Linked DNA regions of Mus musculus: all the other regions are reported to be linked to region 3. The links are microRNA targets in miRTarBase. Many come from high-throughput screens and were not tested one by one. Region 3 holds a microRNA gene; each other region holds the end of a gene's coding sequence.

Evidence for each region. The annotated mature microRNA mmu-miR-3076-3p reads CGCACUCUGGUCUUCCCUUGCAG and lies in region 3 at 2,353-2,375, shown strand. An mRNA with a match to its seed (bases 2 to 7 or 8) in the 3' UTR can be bound and repressed. Matches are read on the target gene's strand: a 7mer-m8 pairs with bases 2 to 8, a 7mer-A1 pairs with bases 2 to 7 and ends in A, and an 8mer does both.
Region 1: miRTarBase lists Golga2 as a target of mmu-miR-3076-3p. Seed matches in the 3' UTR shown: 7mer-m8 at 4,441-4,447.
Region 2: miRTarBase lists Slc2a10 as a target of mmu-miR-3076-3p. Seed matches in the 3' UTR shown: 8mer at 3,709-3,716 and 7mer-m8 at 2,777-2,783.

Annotation. Positions count from the first base shown.
Region 1 is chr2:32,305,989-32,311,208 of GRCm38, reverse strand. It overlaps Golga2 (golgi autoantigen, golgin subfamily a, 2), which reads right to left. Exons shown (of 26, transcript NM_001080968.2): 24 at 5,126-5,220; 25 at 4,893-5,049; 26 at 3,296-4,803. The coding sequence ends at 4,589. It overlaps Dnm1 (dynamin 1), which reads left to right. Exons shown (of 23, transcript NM_001301737.1): 22 at 722-758; 23 at 2,145-2,738. The coding sequence ends at 743. Among named protein-coding and RNA genes, the nearest start is that of Gm23363, 9.7 kb to the left of the region's middle.
Region 2 is chr2:165,517,393-165,522,612 of GRCm38, reverse strand. It overlaps Slc2a10 (solute carrier family 2 (facilitated glucose transporter), member 10), which reads right to left. Exons shown (of 5, transcript NM_130451.3): 4 at 4,861-4,996; 5 at 2,696-4,446. The coding sequence ends at 4,371. Among named protein-coding and RNA genes, the nearest start is that of Slc2a10, 16 kb to the right of the region's middle.
Region 3 is chr14:30,569,833-30,575,052 of GRCm38, forward strand. Mir3076 (microRNA 3076) reads left to right here and starts at 2,317; the gene lies at 2,317-2,376. It overlaps Tkt (transketolase), which reads left to right. Exons shown (of 14, transcript NM_009388.6): 9 at 124-280; 10 at 371-501; 11 at 1,131-1,214; 12 at 1,320-1,413; 13 at 2,376-2,498; 14 at 3,505-4,892. The coding sequence ends at 3,680.

The sequences.
Region 1 (5,220 bases), not on the chromosome of region 3:
TAGGGGCCTAGCCCCCATACACTAAACGAGGCAGGGATGGGCTTACTCTGTGGGACTCTAATGTCTGGAACAGTTAAGACAGGACTGGGAGTCCAGAAATGCTGGTTCACTTCCCTTAGGCAAGTCATTTTCCCTCTCAGGGCTTTAGTTTCCTTCTAAATACATGTGTGTCCCCTGACATTTCCCCAGGGGAGTGTGAGATTGACAGAGACAGTGGGCTGCTTTACTAATGGTCAATGGTAGGGTGGGGTAGGTTGGAGATTTGTAGAGACTCAATGATATAGGGAGCCATGGAAGGTTCTTGAGCAAAGAAATGACAGCTGGATCCTAAAGTGCAAGCCCTGTCCTTTACGGAGCCCTATGGTAACCCTGTCAGCACACCAGGCCTGGATGTGCAGGGAGCTGGTGCAAAGGCCTTCTCTGTGCAGGCGAGCTTCTGTGTTGTGACAGCTCATGCGTGTGCTTCTGTGTGCTGAGTGGCTGCATGTCCCAGATCCGTGCTGCACGACGTATTGGCCGGCAATGGTGCTGGGCACTGGGAGGTGGGAGGGAGATATATGCGTGTTTGTGGGCATGTGTGTTAACGTGTGCACGCAGGGCCTTAAGGCCTCACAGCATGTGTGTGCACGCCCAGGCGTGTGCGTGTGTGTGTCCCCTAACCCCCAGCCTGGCCCACCTGTGTGTTTGTGAACTGCCCTGTTGATTTCGTGCTGTCTTTCAGAATCACTATCAGTGACCCCTGAGGAGTGTCAGCTACGGTAGGTTATGCTCTCAGCCTGCTGCATGAACAGTGTGTCTACCCCTCCCTCCTCGCTGCACCAGCTCCATGCTGAGGACACCTGGGACCCCTGAGCCAGGCCCCTCCTCCTTCTCCTGCAGCTCTGGACTCCCTCTTCCTGTCCTCTTCCAGCTGGCTCTCTCACTTCCCTTTCCAGTGAGCCTCGGGACTCAGCGCCACTACTCAAGGCCTTCTTGCTTAAACTGAGGGCTCTTGGAACAGGTTTCATGTCCAAGACGGTAGATGTGGGTGCTCCCTGGAGACACCAGACCACTGTTGACAGTGTAGGGACTAAGAACTAGGAGAGGGTGTCTTCAGCCTCTGAAGGGGCCAGAAGCGTTAGGACCCCCTCTTCATACCTACTCTGAACTATGCTGCCAAGATAAGAGCTTTCTCCTTCCAGCCTAGGAGCATGGCGACTAAATTCACCACAGGGCAAGCATGAGAATCGCGCTGGCAAAGCCAGGCTCTGACTGGTGACTTTAGACAACTTAAGAGCCTTTGCCTTTCTGCCAGCGCCTGAGGGCTCGCAGGCAAGGTGAGGATCTCATTCATCCTTGACATTGCACACCTGTAGCTAACAGCCACCTCGTCAGCCCCCGACATAGAGCCAGCCCATCAGCTCCAACATTTGACCTGTTTTCAGAGTGACCTGTGCCTTTTAGCCGAAGGCAATGCATTGTCTACTGACTGGGAAAGTCAACTTGAGTTCTGCCTGGCTGGCCACAGATCTCGGTTACCCTGTCCCAACTCTTCCCCAGCCATTGACGCTCACCCTTCTGCTTTTCCCCAGCAGGAAGGGCCCAGCCTCACCTACGAGACCTGCAGCCCCCCGACCAACGGAGGCTCCCCTCTTAGACTTATAAGTCTGTGGCCGCAGGCATCGGCTGCCTGCCTCCCAGCCTCCCCAGGGTCCCCTCAGAGGACTCCTGACTTTCTGACCACCTGAGGGGCCTCCAGCGCTCCCTCCAGCCATCCCCTTTAGCTTCAATCTCCTGGTTCAAGCACTTCTGGCCTCATGGCTGTTACATGGGACTCCCTGAGGCTTGGGGTGGCCCTGAGCCAGTGAGATGAGAGACAGTGAGCAAAAATGAGGGAGGCCCTGTGGTGCATTGCCTGGGTGGTGTGTGAGAGGCCGTGTGTGTGGCAAGAGAGGGCCACCAGCCTCTACTCAGACTACCTGCTAGTTACGGCCCAGCACCCCATCTTCCCTTTCATTCATCAACTGTGCATCTCTTCCGGGAACCCTGCCCACATCCACACCTGCCTCAGCCCCTGCCTCTGCTGGAGGTGGCTGCTCTTGCCTTACCAGCTCTCCTTCCTTTTCTCTCTTCCGTTCTCTCTCGGCTTTCTCTCCAACTGCCAGCCGATCGGGTCAGGCAAGTCCGTCCCGTCCTGAGAGCCCCAGGCCCCCCTTCGACCTCTAACCAGATCCCTCCTACTCCTCGGAGACCTCCCTTACCAAGCCTGCCTGGACAGCTGTTCTGTGACTTGACAGTGGCTCCCCCGGCCCCAAAGCGTCCTATTCATCATCTGTGACTTAGTCTGTTGTAGTGGTGAGCTGACACATCCAGATGTGATGTTGGTGAAAACTTGTGCCCCTCTGTGGTATTGCTCCTGCGACATTCTATAAATATCTATAAATATACCTATATATACATATATATACATATATATGGCTGACACAGCCTCGCCTGTAGTGTCAGAATCAACCACCATGCTGTCCTTGTGGAGTCTTGTGGTCCAACAAGGGAACGCTGTCATCCTGACAACCCCCCCTCCAGTGTACCACCTCCAGTGAGCCCCCCTGTCCTCCTGGCCTGTGAACAGCCATCCCCTTGGCCATCCCAACCCTGCAGCAAGGGGATGCTGCAGCAGCAGCAGCTGTGCAGTTCTCTGGTAGCCACCAGTCTTGCTGTCTCTTGGCTGAGAATAAAACCCATTTCTGGATCATGGGGAATTGCGTGTACCTCTGCTGGTTTGTATTCTCTGGGGCTGAGAGGACGGTGTAAACTGGGCACTGAATGGAGGGTGAGGAAAGGCCCTTGCTAGGGTGCTTGTGAGTTTAGCAGGTCCTCATCCTACGAATCCTGCTTACACCACTAGGGGGCAGTATCATGAGCTCAGCCAGGATGCTGTGAACAGCCTAAAGAACAAAACAGGTCTCTAGTGTGGACAGACTAAGGGGAAGGGTCGGAATGTAAGAGGCCTGGCCTGGAAGTCAGCGCCCTTAGTTGCTGCACCCCGAGTCCCACCTATGTATACTATATGTCAGGCTTGACTCTCTTACTCAGTAAGGAAGCTCTGTCCCTGTAGCCCCATGGTACTCCCCCTGGGGTCCCTAGGCTTCAATAGGCAGTGTATAGGTGATAGGTGTCAATCAGCCCTGCCAGGCACTTCAGACCTTGGGCTCCATACAGGCCAGAAGCCTGCTCTCTCCAGGCAGGACACATTCCCTGCTCAGTGCCAGCCTGAGGCTAACCCCAGAACCAATGACGAACACCCTAGGCCCAGCAGTATGGCTAAATCCATTTATTTCCCAAGTAAAAAGCAAAATAAAGAGGAGCTGCATCAGCAGGTGCCACAACCTTGTCTCCGCCTCCTGCCCTCTGACCTAACACTACCAATAAATAAGGTTCCCAGCCCAAAGTGATTATTAGAAGCTCTTCCCATTTGCCAGCTCCAACCTCCACTATGATACAGGGGTGTCCCTACCCCGGTATATACAAAATAGTACACAGGTACAATATGTACACCGGGGGAGGGGAAGGCCACCCTGCCCCAGCAGCCTCTGTCCTGCTTGGCGTAGTTACCCCAATTGTCATAAGGCCTGAGAGAATGGTACCCACTTTCCCTGTCCCAAAGTGCCTCAAAAAGATGGAAGCCCTCCAAAGTGGGATGCCTTCCTGAGGCAGTTAGCCCCAACTGCCTGAGGACCCATGAAGTGCTGCCCAGCCCCACTGCCCTAAAGTGCCTCTGAGAAGATGGGAGTTGATCTGGGGACCTGCTGTGCCCTGGGTTCCATCCCCAGCATCACCACACAAAGGAAAAAGGCAGGGAGTGCTGGGGGTAAATCACTTGGTAGAGTGCCTGCTTAGCACTGCCAACCACCAGGCACAGCGGTGAGGCAGGGGCTCAGCTCGGGCTACAGGAGACACTCCGTAAAGAAAATGAAGATAAAATGGGGGCGGGGAGGAAAAGGAGGATAGGGAGGACTGAGCCGGTGAAAACTTAGAAGCCCTGCTGAATGCTAGGCCAGTTTACCAGCCTGCACTGCACCTGGGCACGAGAATGCTGCCACTCTGTTCTGCCCCAGAGTCCTGAGTAAGGCCTGAGGCCCTCCTTGGTGAGAAAGCCCCCAGGCCACCCAGCACAGTCTGCTCCATCACTGAGTCTCTGGCGTTCTTTCTGTAACAGGAATTTACAAAGTAAAACTGCCCTGGCTAAGAGGCAGATCTGTACCAGTCTGTGTCCCCCATTAAGATAGGAGCCTGATCTTTTGGTTTTTTCAGACAGGGTCGCATGTAGCCCAGTGTGGCCTCAAACTCACTAGGTAGATGAGGATGGCTGATTCTTCCACCTCCACTTCCCAAGCACTCAAATTACAGGTATCAGCCTTTTCAGAGGTACTGGGGACCCAAGGCTGTGTGCACAGCAGGCAAGCACTCTACCAACTGAGCTACTTCCCCAGCCCCTGGAGGGGATGGAGTCTGACCTTATTATTATTATAAAGATAAGGGTGGCTGAGGAAGGGTGTGGGTTGGGGCAGAACCTCTGGCTGCCCTTGCTGAGGCTTTGGCCGCCAGTCTTTTATACAACCATGATCTTCACCTCGTCGTTCTCATCGGCACGGTAGAAAAAGGGGATGCAAGGGTTGCTACCCAGGCCTGGCCGCTCCCGGGGGTTCTGGATCTCACGCAGCAGCTGCATGATCTGCTGTGCAGTAGGGTTCTCATGGGGAGCAGGTACCCCTGCCTCTCCTTGTGCAGGCTCTATATCGTCAGCCAGGCTCACCTCCCTGAGGTCTTTAGAGAAAGGGGGAGGGGGTCATGGCTCTGCACGCCATGGGACTCCTCCCCTTTGTGCCTTCCCAAGAGACAACAGCTCTACTCACCATCCTGCTGGTCAGCAGCACCAAATTCCTGGGAGCCTGTGGGCACTGGGGTGAGCACGTCACCAGGGTTCTGAGAGACGGCCAGGAACTTGCCCTGCCATTCATTGCGCTCGTTCACAAGCCTCAACACCAGCTCCTGGAGCTCCAGCAGCTTCACCTGGAGAAAAAGGAGCTCAACTTGAAGGGCCCAGCCCAGATTAGGCAGGGCCTGGACTACAGAAGTGTAGGCCTACCTTCATCTCCTCCTTGTCCTGAGCCAGCCGGCTGATGTATTCTTCCTTCTCCAAATGCCGAGCCTTCAGCACCGCCCTCTGATTTTGGTAAAGGG
Region 2 (5,220 bases), not on the chromosome of region 3:
AACCGGTGCTCAGAAAATCCTAAGTGTTAGAGACGAGAGCTGCTCAGCCTCTGCAGCACATTGGTTCACGGAGGTCACTGGGCCACAGACGTGGGCTTCTTCCAGAGACTGGTTCTGAACTTCTAGACGTGTACGACCCCAACTCAATATGTTTCTTAGACCCCCTAGAAACGAAGCCCAGCATGGAATTCTTTGTTCTTTCACCTTCAGCCTGAGAGAACAATGACCACTAGGTGACCCACCCAAGCTCCTGACCCATAGTGTAAAAGGACCAAGAATGTTTGCCAAAGATAGCCTGTAACCTTTCTGTGAGAGATGAGCTGTAATTCACCATCCTCATTCTTACGATGTTTACTCAGCTTCCCCATTCTTTGTGGCCTTATCCTCCCCTCACTTTGTGGTTTATTCTTTAAAAACCCTCGACTGCAACTGCTGGGGGTCGATCTCTTCTCTCCCTGTGTGAGTTACGAGCTCGGCCTCAGCATGCTGATTCCTGAATAAACCTCATGCAATAGTTATTGGGGCATCGGCTCATCCCAGGACTTGAGCGAGAGTCTCCCCAGAAACGGGGGTCTTTCAGAAGCAGTTAGCTCTGGGTCAGCCAACAGTCCCAGTAGAATGCCACCCCAAAGTGTGACCAACCCAAGCAGGTGTCAGACCATGGACTGCCTGGGAGGGACCTACAGGCAAATCTGAGAGTGGATAGCCAGGGGAGAAGCAACCCCTAAGTCTTAGGAAGTATATTTGCTTCTTTCTGACTCTGCTCTTTCAATGTGTAGAACTCAGAGCTCTGTGAACAACCAAGGAACATCACAGTGACCAGGACTGGTCATTCTCGTGGGACCACGCTGCCCAGTGTGGGAGAGCTTCAAGTACTGCTTGGAGCCTAAGATGCTAGAAAAGGCAGTACAGAGTCAATGTGTTTAACCATCAAGGGTTACAGTTTTTATTTAATCTCAGATCAGGGGTTTCTACCCCACCTCTTATCCTTCAGTTCCCAGATAAAAGACACTCGACCTTTGTATTTATAATAAGCCTTAATCAGCAGTAGAACTGGGCAGATATCAATCCTCCAAGCTATTAAAATCTACTTCGCTATCAATAACCCCAAATTATAATTTGCCATGTTCCATCTGGGCAGCTCTGAACTCCAATTGGCCAGCTCTCACAGCCATGTTTGCATGATCCAGCTAACCATGGGATCTTCTCTTCCCACAGTCTCTTTCCATCTCTTTCATGGTCTCCTCAGAGTCCAAGCCATAGAACCCAAACTCTGCCTGCTATTGGCTGTGGGCATCTTTATTCACCAATCAGGGATAACTTGGGGGGCGGGGCAAGGTCACATAGCATCCCTTGTGTGCGTGCAGATTCTCTCATCCCTGGGGGCGACCAGGTGTCTTGGGAGACAGTTTTTAGTATTACAATACATCGCAAAAGACCAAACCTCAACAACCGAGGACGTTGGAGCAACTTGTTCTGTGCCCAGCTCCATCTCAGCAGATGGCAATGAAGTGCGGTACCCAGCACCGTTGCCCAGTTCTCACCCTCTCCAGACGTTGGCATCTGATTGACAGATGGAGCCAGAGAAAGTTTTTTGGATCCTATCTCGGTAACGACCAGCCCAGTCAAACTCAGAGGTTTAGGGTGGCACATGGCCCATAAGTCTGGAAGAACTTAGCAACGTCATGGAGGTGAATGTAAAGGAGATGCACAAGTGGAGAAAGCTGAGAAGCACAGAGGCGGGGCGAGGAAGAAAATGAGAAAATGAAAACATTGTTGCTTCCACTGGCAAACTCAGTCCTTGCCAGGAAAGCTGGAATGTTGACTTGGCGCTCCTGCAACTCAAGTTTCTACACATGCAGAAGAAACATCCAAATGGTGTGAGAAATTGCTGCTTCTGCTCTTGACCTTGGTCAGGGTCAGTGTTTCTGAACTCAGCCTCTTGGGACACAGGGCATTAGTGGGGAGCACCACTAATCCAAGCACTCGCGCGGCGGGAGGCAGAGGCAGATGGATCTCTGTGAGTTTAAAGCCAGATTGGTCTATATAGTCAGTTCTAGGACAGTCTGGGCTACACGGACACTTCTGCTTATCTTTGTGGTTTTGGTTTTTTTTTTTTTTTATGTTTTTTGTTTTGGTCTCACTATGTCTTTCTGACTGTTCTGAGACTCACTGTGTAGACAGACCTGACCTAGAACTCGCAGAGATCCATCTTCCCCGGCTTCCCAAGTGTTGAGATTAAATGTGTGCACTGTCACGCCAGCTCTCCGGCCTTCATTTTTAACTGGTTTGATTTATCATCACAAAGGAAAGTGTGAGTAGACGCCAAATATTCTCTGTAACATACAAGGCAAGGGCAGTTCTTAACCTATTCATTTTAGAGTATTTCCCAAAAGTGTAAAAAAAAGAAAAATTGGGGGACTGGAGAGGATCTGGTTATTTGTGTGTTGTCTGTCATCTTATCCCTACTATTCTGTATCTATCAATCAATGGTTTTTCTCCCCTCCATTCAGTTTTCTGTCCTTCTTTCCCCTTTTCATCTCCTTATCTTTCTCATGGACCAGCCACCCAACCAGAATGTCAGAATAAGCACAGGAACCTTGTCTAGGCCACACTCTGCCCTGGGGTCTAGAGTGACCCTTGACACTTAGTAGACAACACACGTGCATTTGTGCGGAAATATAAATCACCATATGCGTTTGTGCTCAAAATAATTTATTTCAAAATACACTTTTAAATTACACGTCTTTGTGTGAGAAAACGTTCCACCTGAAGAGCACTCTGTAAGCACACACACACACACACACACACACACACACACACACACACACAGAGGGCATCCCAGCAGCGTGGAGGAGGGAGAAGGGCAGCAGAGATGTTAGGAGGCAGTGATAAGGTTTGGTTTTTTTGTATTCGTCTATTGATTTGGTTGGATAAGATTTCAGTTTGAAGCCAGACTGGCCTAGAACACTCAATCCTTTAGCCTCCTGAGTGCTGGGATTACAGGCATGCACCAGCACATAGGCGGTGATGAGGTTTGAGTATTGACTATTATAATTACACTGATTGTTTATTATCCATGAAAACACTTTCTAGATGATGCCAGTGCTTAGCAACCAGTCTGTAGAAGTCCCAACTGCGTGGCAGTCAGCTCTGGGGAGCCAGCACAAGCTTAATCCAGCACACCACTGGTTATGAATGACGTATCTAGAAACAGAGAGCATGGTCACCAGGCCAGGCTTGGGAACCAGGAGGGTATGACAGCTGACAGTGCTGGTGAGGCCAGCTACCCAGTGTCTAGGAACTAACTCTGTTTTATTGATGTCCTCCTTATGTGACCTCTGACCTGAGGCTCTTGCTTGTCTCCAGTTGACTGACCTTTACAACGCCCCCAAAGAAGAGCTCTATGTAACACGGTGAGCAGAAGCCCCCAGGGCTCACGGAAGACTCTCCTGAGAGAGATGGCGTACGTCAATATATCCTGAGGCACACAACTGTGCCCATTCTGCAGATGAATAAACCAGGGCTTTAGGAAGTCAGTAGCAACTGAAGTAGAAGCCACAATCACCAACACACGGATGAGTCCCTCTAATCCCTTCCTTCATTCAAAGCCTTCTGCCGAACCCTGGAAACTATTGGGGTCCTAGCACTTGTCACACGTTGGAGTCCTGCTCTTACATTCCAGAATGCTAGACTCTGGAACAGAGGTGCACTCTCTGCTAACTAACAAAGCTTCTGTCCCCAGAGCCACTCGACAGGGCCCCTTCATTGAGTGCTTATTATATCCCTGCTCTGAGACTTCGGTCCTTGTGGAGTGAGAAGGGATCTTAGGAGTAGCCTAGTCCAGTTTCTGTGAGACACATGGGGAAACTGAGGCCAGGGTCATAAGACCATCTCCGTTACAGCCTGCTGTCCCCAGTCAGAGTCCCAGCACCTGATAAACATCTTGGGCAAGTGGGAGGGGCTGATGAATACAGGCTCTGGATCACTAAGACCCCAGCAAGGGGACGAGGAAGGCGGAGACTCACAGCCTCTGCTGGTTGGGGATGGTGGTAAGAGACACTTCCTTCCCAGGTCCTCTGAGAAGCACTTGATGAACGCCACAGAGGATGTCATTATAAACATGGCAGACAAGTCAACTCCCTGGGGAAACTGAGGCATGGAGCTAAATCTTCCAGAGAGCCCTCAGAGTCTCACACTCAAAATGAAGAGTTTGGCAGTTATCTCTCACACCGGCAAGAGGCAGCCTCTGGGAGCAGAGGTCACTACAGAAGGAAATCTGTATCAGGAGTTTCAGACCCCAGCAGGCAGGGAGCAGGAGATGGGCTGCAGGAACCAATGTCCCAGCATCTTCCAAGCAGACGGATGCCTCAGGAGGCTGAGGAGACATCCAGGCGATGGTACTGAATACCGATGCGCTGCCTATGGCCAAAGTTTAGAGGGAACCTGCAAATGAAACCACACAATCAGAGAACAGCAGGCCTGAAGCCTCCCTGGGCAGGAGGCAGTGGGCATCACTGCCCCCACCTGATATGGTGGGGCTGTGCCTCAAAAAGAAAAACCAGGGCTGGGACGGAGCTCAGGGTCGAATGCTTACATGTGTTACACACAGTTACACGGGAAGAGGCCCAGGTATGCATGTTCCCTTCAGTGCACACACAAACCTGGGAGCTGAGCCTTAACGTCCATGCAAAGCCACCGTCTAATGATACAAGATAGCTGAAGGAAAGTGGCTGGGCAAAATGGCAGGGAGGCAGGAGATGCAAGCATGTAGCAAAAGAAAGCAGGAGACTGAGGTCCTAAAGAGCCCCACCCCTCTTGATGCACTGTCCCAGCCCCCACACCTCACCCACCACCTACCTGCTTGTCTGAAACTGCTGCTCTATTTCAGCTAAAGACTGTCCTTTGGTTTCAGGAACAAGTAGGTAGATGAAAGCCAGGCCAAGGACAGCGGTCAGCCCATAGAGCAGGAAGGTCCAAGCCAAGCCGATGGCACCTTGGGACACAATGTTGGGAGTGTGGGTCAGGAGCTGAGTAACCTGGTCTTGAGGCCCAGGCCACCCCAAGCAGCTCCTGGGTGTAGAGCCAGCAGTTCACCCATGCAAGGGCCAGGGATGGCCAGTTTGCAGAGGGCTAACAAGCCCTCAGGTAAAGACCTGAAAGCCAGAATGTAAGTGGCTGTCCCTGAGCCCGGGGCCACCAACACAATGAGGACAACTT
Region 3 (5,220 bases):
TACCCAGGCAACTCTCGAGGGTTAGCATACTAGGATCGCAGCCTCTTCTGCCTCCCACATGTGGCCTCGGGAGGGTTCTGGGCTCCCTGTTCTTCAGGGCTAATCTGGCCCTCCTGCCCTCAGGTGAGCATTGCCGTGGGCTGTGCCACACGTGACCGGACAGTGCCCTTCTGCAGTACTTTCGCGGCCTTCTTCACACGGGCCTTCGACCAGATTCGCATGGCCGCCATCTCTGAGAGCAACATCAACCTCTGTGGCTCCCACTGTGGTGTGTCCATTGGTGAGTTCAGACCTGTTGCTAAGCACCAGTGCGTGTGGGAGGGCACGCTGGAAGCTGGAGCCAATCATCAGCCTCTTTTCAATACTCCAGGGGAAGACGGGCCCTCTCAGATGGCCCTCGAAGACCTGGCCATGTTCCGGTCAGTCCCCATGTCCACCGTCTTTTACCCAAGCGATGGAGTTGCAACAGAGAAGGCAGTGGAGTTAGCAGCCAACACAAAGGTTAGTCGTGTGGCTGTTCTTTTGGAAGCTAGCTCTTCCACAGAGGCAGAAGAGGAGGCCAGCGCAAGGTAGAGCTGGTCACTTGCTGCCTAGGGAGGCATTTCCTGGCCATGTCCCTCGTGTGTGTATACCTTAAAGAAACAAGACTGAGAAAATCAAAGCATACCATTCGTCATGCATCATGGCAGACACTGCCAGCTGATGGGCACTCTGCCAGCTTGACCACTGGTGTTTGCCTTCCTTGGGTTGAAGGACAGTAACCCGAGTCTCTGGTCCAGGACAATAACTGACTTGCCTCAGACTGGCATACAGAGTTTCCCGTGTCCCACCCGAGAGCCGGGGCCAGCCTTACCGAGGCATTCTGGGGAGTAGCCCCACTGAGAAGCCAAGCCAGTTTACCTTTTAGAAGTTGCTTCCAGTCTGAGATTAGCCAGGCTGTGGGTGCTTCTTCTCCTGTGTTCAGAGGTACCAGCTACAGGGAACCAGCCCCATCTCTTTGCCATAGCGCCAGGACACAATGACTGTGCCCAGGTTATAATTGACTGACTAAATGAGGCTTGTATCTAGGAAGGGTGGCCCTCTAGAAGACCAAGCTGTCGTGTTTCTCAGTTTATCTGTTCCAATCCCAGGGCATTTGCTTCATCCGGACCAGCCGCCCAGAGAATGCCATTATTTATAGCAACAATGAGGATTTCCAGGTCGGCCAAGCCAAGGTCAGTGCCCTTCGTGTATGAGAACCCGAGGGAGCCACCCACCCTGCTGCTGCTTCTACTCTCAGACCCTGCTCTGGCCCCTCACTGTCCCCATGTCACCCGCAGGTGGTCCTGAAGAGCAAGGATGACCAAGTGACAGTGATCGGGGCTGGTGTAACTCTGCATGAGGCCTTGGCTGCTGCAGAGAGTCTAAAGAAAGGTAAGAAGAAAGGGACCAGGGAGGTCACAGGCTGGTCACACAGAATCTCTAGTTAAGTCATGATGACAATAACTGAAGCCACCCTTTGAGCCATTACGCCATGTCCATGCTATGTTCTAGGACTGGTGACTATCCTCACCTATGATCCCTTTGTATCAGATCGGAGGCCATGGAGCCTGCCAGGAAAACTGAAGTCACAGCTCAGCCGGTCACTAGTTAAATGACTTATTCACCGTCTTTGTGTCTCCGATTCCCCACGTGTAAACTGGCACTTAGCCTTTATGACTGTCCCAAGGCCTTAGGTGTGCCTTGGCATTCATACTGTTATTATTACTATAAGTATAATGTTGTTAGCTAGTGATACCGTAGGGACAGAGCGTCAGCCTCGTCCTCTCAGTGAGATCGCCAGACACGTCACATCTCAAGCTTGTGAGCACCAGGAAGCAAAAGGTGGTCCCTTGGTTGGGTGACCTGAGTGGCCTGTGCAATGTGGGGGTGAACAGGACTGAGGCTGTAGCAAGCTGGGCCTGAGAGGTCAAGAAAGCTCCACCCAGACAGGGTGTCTAGGCAGCTGGGTGTGGTGAGGTGGCTTTTATTCTGAGAAAGTCACTCTGGCTACAGCTCTTCTCCCCACTATCCCAAAAACCTTTATGTTAGATCAGATATCTGAAGTCTTCCTTTTATCTTCAAAGGCATAGGAGGATAAGAGCCCCATAGTCTGCTCTAACAGTCGGTCCACAGGGCACCCAGCTGACCACTATCTCTCCCAAACAGGAGAGAATAGGGAGAAGAGCTATTCTCAATGGTGAGAGTAAGTGGACAGACAGCTAGCCACCAAAGAGTAGTTCTTCTTAGGCCCAAGACGCCCCATTCGGGATAAGGGGCCATTGGAGTTCTGTTCTAACACAGGGGAAGCTCAGTGCCAGCCTTTCTCTTAGCCGCACTCTGGTCTTCCCTTGCAGATAAGATCAGCATCCGGGTGCTGGATCCCTTCACTATCAAGCCCCTGGACAGGAAACTCATCCTAGACTCTGCCCGAGCAACCAAAGGCAGGATCCTCACCGTGGAGGACCACTACTACGAAGGTAACTGGGGCTGCACCAGCCTGGCGAGGGAAGGCCAGAGAGAGCAGTAGGGGAGGCAAGAGGTAGACACCACTTTAAGTTCCTCTGAGGACAGTCCGCCTTTGCCACTCACGGCCTGGCAGGGGCTCGGGGAGTAGAGCCAGCCGGCAAATGGGTTAGCTGGATCCCTATACCAAAGCCTAAAGCCTCAGAAGAGGCCAGGTCTCAGCTATACTGATGAAGGCTCTGGGTTTTCTGGCCACAGCTGAACTCCTGGGCCTCGTATCAAGGAGGTAAGATGGCTGGACAGGAACAAACAGGAAAGACAGTACCGAGTGTCTTCTTGAGTCCTCTATAAGTGCATGCCTGTTCTTACAGGAGCCTCTGAGGAGAGACGAGCTGAGACTCTAAGGTCAAATGCACAACTTGTGGGAGTCAAGCTGACCCCCAGCTGTACCATATGTGTGCACACACATACTAGATAAAGAAGTGTTTAAAGTATTAACTCAAGGAGCAGGGAAGACCCGGCAGTCACATAGCCTTCGAAAGCATCTATAGGTCCCCAGTGTCCTCTCCTGGCCTCTGAGGGCGTGGAGCAAGCATGTGGCTCACAGACATGCAGGAAAAACACTCGGTACACGTTTAAAAACAATTTTTTTTTAATTACATAAAGCTAAATGTTGAGGCTAAATCCCAGGACTCAGAAGGTGAAGACAGGTGAATCTCTGAATTCAAGACCACCTTGAGCTACATAGGGAGTTCTAGGCCAGTCAAAGCTACAAACAAATAGATGTAGGGCTCTGATGGTAGAGTCCTTGCCTTGTGTGCATGAAGCCCTAGGTTCAATCCCCAGCACTGTGTAAAATCAGGCAAGTGGCAAAGAAAAAGTGACAAAAAGAAAGTGCACATCTGGACTTAGAATAAATCATGGGAACCCTGGTGGATTAGTGATGTCTGCTCCGGCAAGGGCTGTGTCTTTGTCATCTCTGGCTCAGGACTAAGACCTCTCTGACTTTCCTCTGCACAGGTGGCATAGGAGAGGCAGTGTCTGCTGCCGTAGTGGGTGAACCTGGAGTGACGGTCACTCGCCTGGCTGTCAGCCAAGTACCACGAAGTGGCAAGCCAGCTGAGCTACTGAAGATGTTCGGTATTGACAAGGACGCCATTGTGCAAGCTGTGAAAGGCCTTGTCACCAAGGGCTAGGGAGGGCATGGGATGCTGGGTGGGTGAACTACACATTCCAGGGAGGTTCTGGCAGAGGTGGCGAAGGTGTACTGAGTGGGGAGGTAAATATATGTTTTGAGAAAAAAATTAATCCTCAGACTCTTTTTTTTTTCCTGTGATATAAACATATCCAGTGCCAGTATGAGAAGGAGACTGGGGAGAGAGGGAGAGAGCTGGCTCTCTAGGCTTGGGGTCAGGATCTAGGTGTCCCCTGGATCTAGGTGTCCCCTGGAATCCCCTTCTCCAGTTCAGCCTCTGCAAAGCCACAACTGCTCCCACCAAGTCATAACTGGGGACACTCATTGCAGCCTGCCTTTTAGCCAAACTAGGATCCAGCCCCTTCCTTTGCCAGTGTACCCTAAATGACACCATGGAGTTCCCTCCTGCCTTATAAAACCTTCCTGGGCCCTCCATAGCTGCACCATGGCCCCCAAGGTCCCACAACTCCTCCTTTTATGGGTGGTCACTGCTGTTTCCTAGGAATTCCGCAGTGCCCTTAGGGAGGATGGGGCCCATTTGTTGAGCTATGTGCATGTTTGCCCTTTGTCGACAAACTGCTCAGCTAGCGAGTTGCCTGGCCCGATCCTTCCATGCCAGGGAACTGTATGGTACCAACTCCAGAAACAGCAGAGCAGGTAGGTTGTCTCAGGGAGATGACAGAGACTCCTCAGTGGGTGATCTTAGGGCACACCCTGGGAGGCCTTGAGCTCCGCATGTCAGGAACTCTCCTTCACTGAGAAAAGAAGGCAAGCCATCTCCCTGTCAGGACAATTGAGGAACTTCTCAGCCACGAGTTTTGAGTCTGGACATAACTACAATATGTTATGTAGTTCTGAACAAAAACAGTAAAGCTTGGGTGCTTGGTCACCACCTGGTGGCCATTTATGGTACTACAGTGCTAAGCACACCCCTACAGAGGAATCTGAGGAAGGAGACTAGGGATGGTGTTTTCTGAACTCTGTAAAGCTCACAGCAGGTGGAGGTGACAGTGACATTACTGAACTTTGTATGCATTTTACTTAATCCTTACTACAAGAAACCACTTTAGAAGGCATTCCACTTGGCTGAGTGCTAAGGATTGGTCTATGTATTGCAATGCTAAATTCTGTACCCAAAAGTCTACAGGCTTTTATTGTGCAAACCTTCTTCCTTAATTTAAAACTATTGTTTAAATAAAATGGCTACAGTCAATTACTGGAGGATTAGAGGTAGGTGGGATTGGGAGTTGAGGTGGTGGGGGGAATGGACCTTGAGCACATGGCCAAGAGAAACTGGCAAGTGTCTGGGGCACACGGCTGGGGAGGTAGCCAGGCCAGCAGTTAGGAAAGTAGATTAGGGGTTACCCCCCAGTAATGGTCAAATAAAATAACCATTCATTTATAACCTACACGGAGATGAGCTTAAGTTGGCTTAACTACAGCCCAGTATGCAGAGTAAAGGACTGCACCTCGGGTTTTTGTGGCTACCATTTTTGTCCTTGTGGCCTCCTTAAAGGGGATGCTATGTAGTCAACCATATG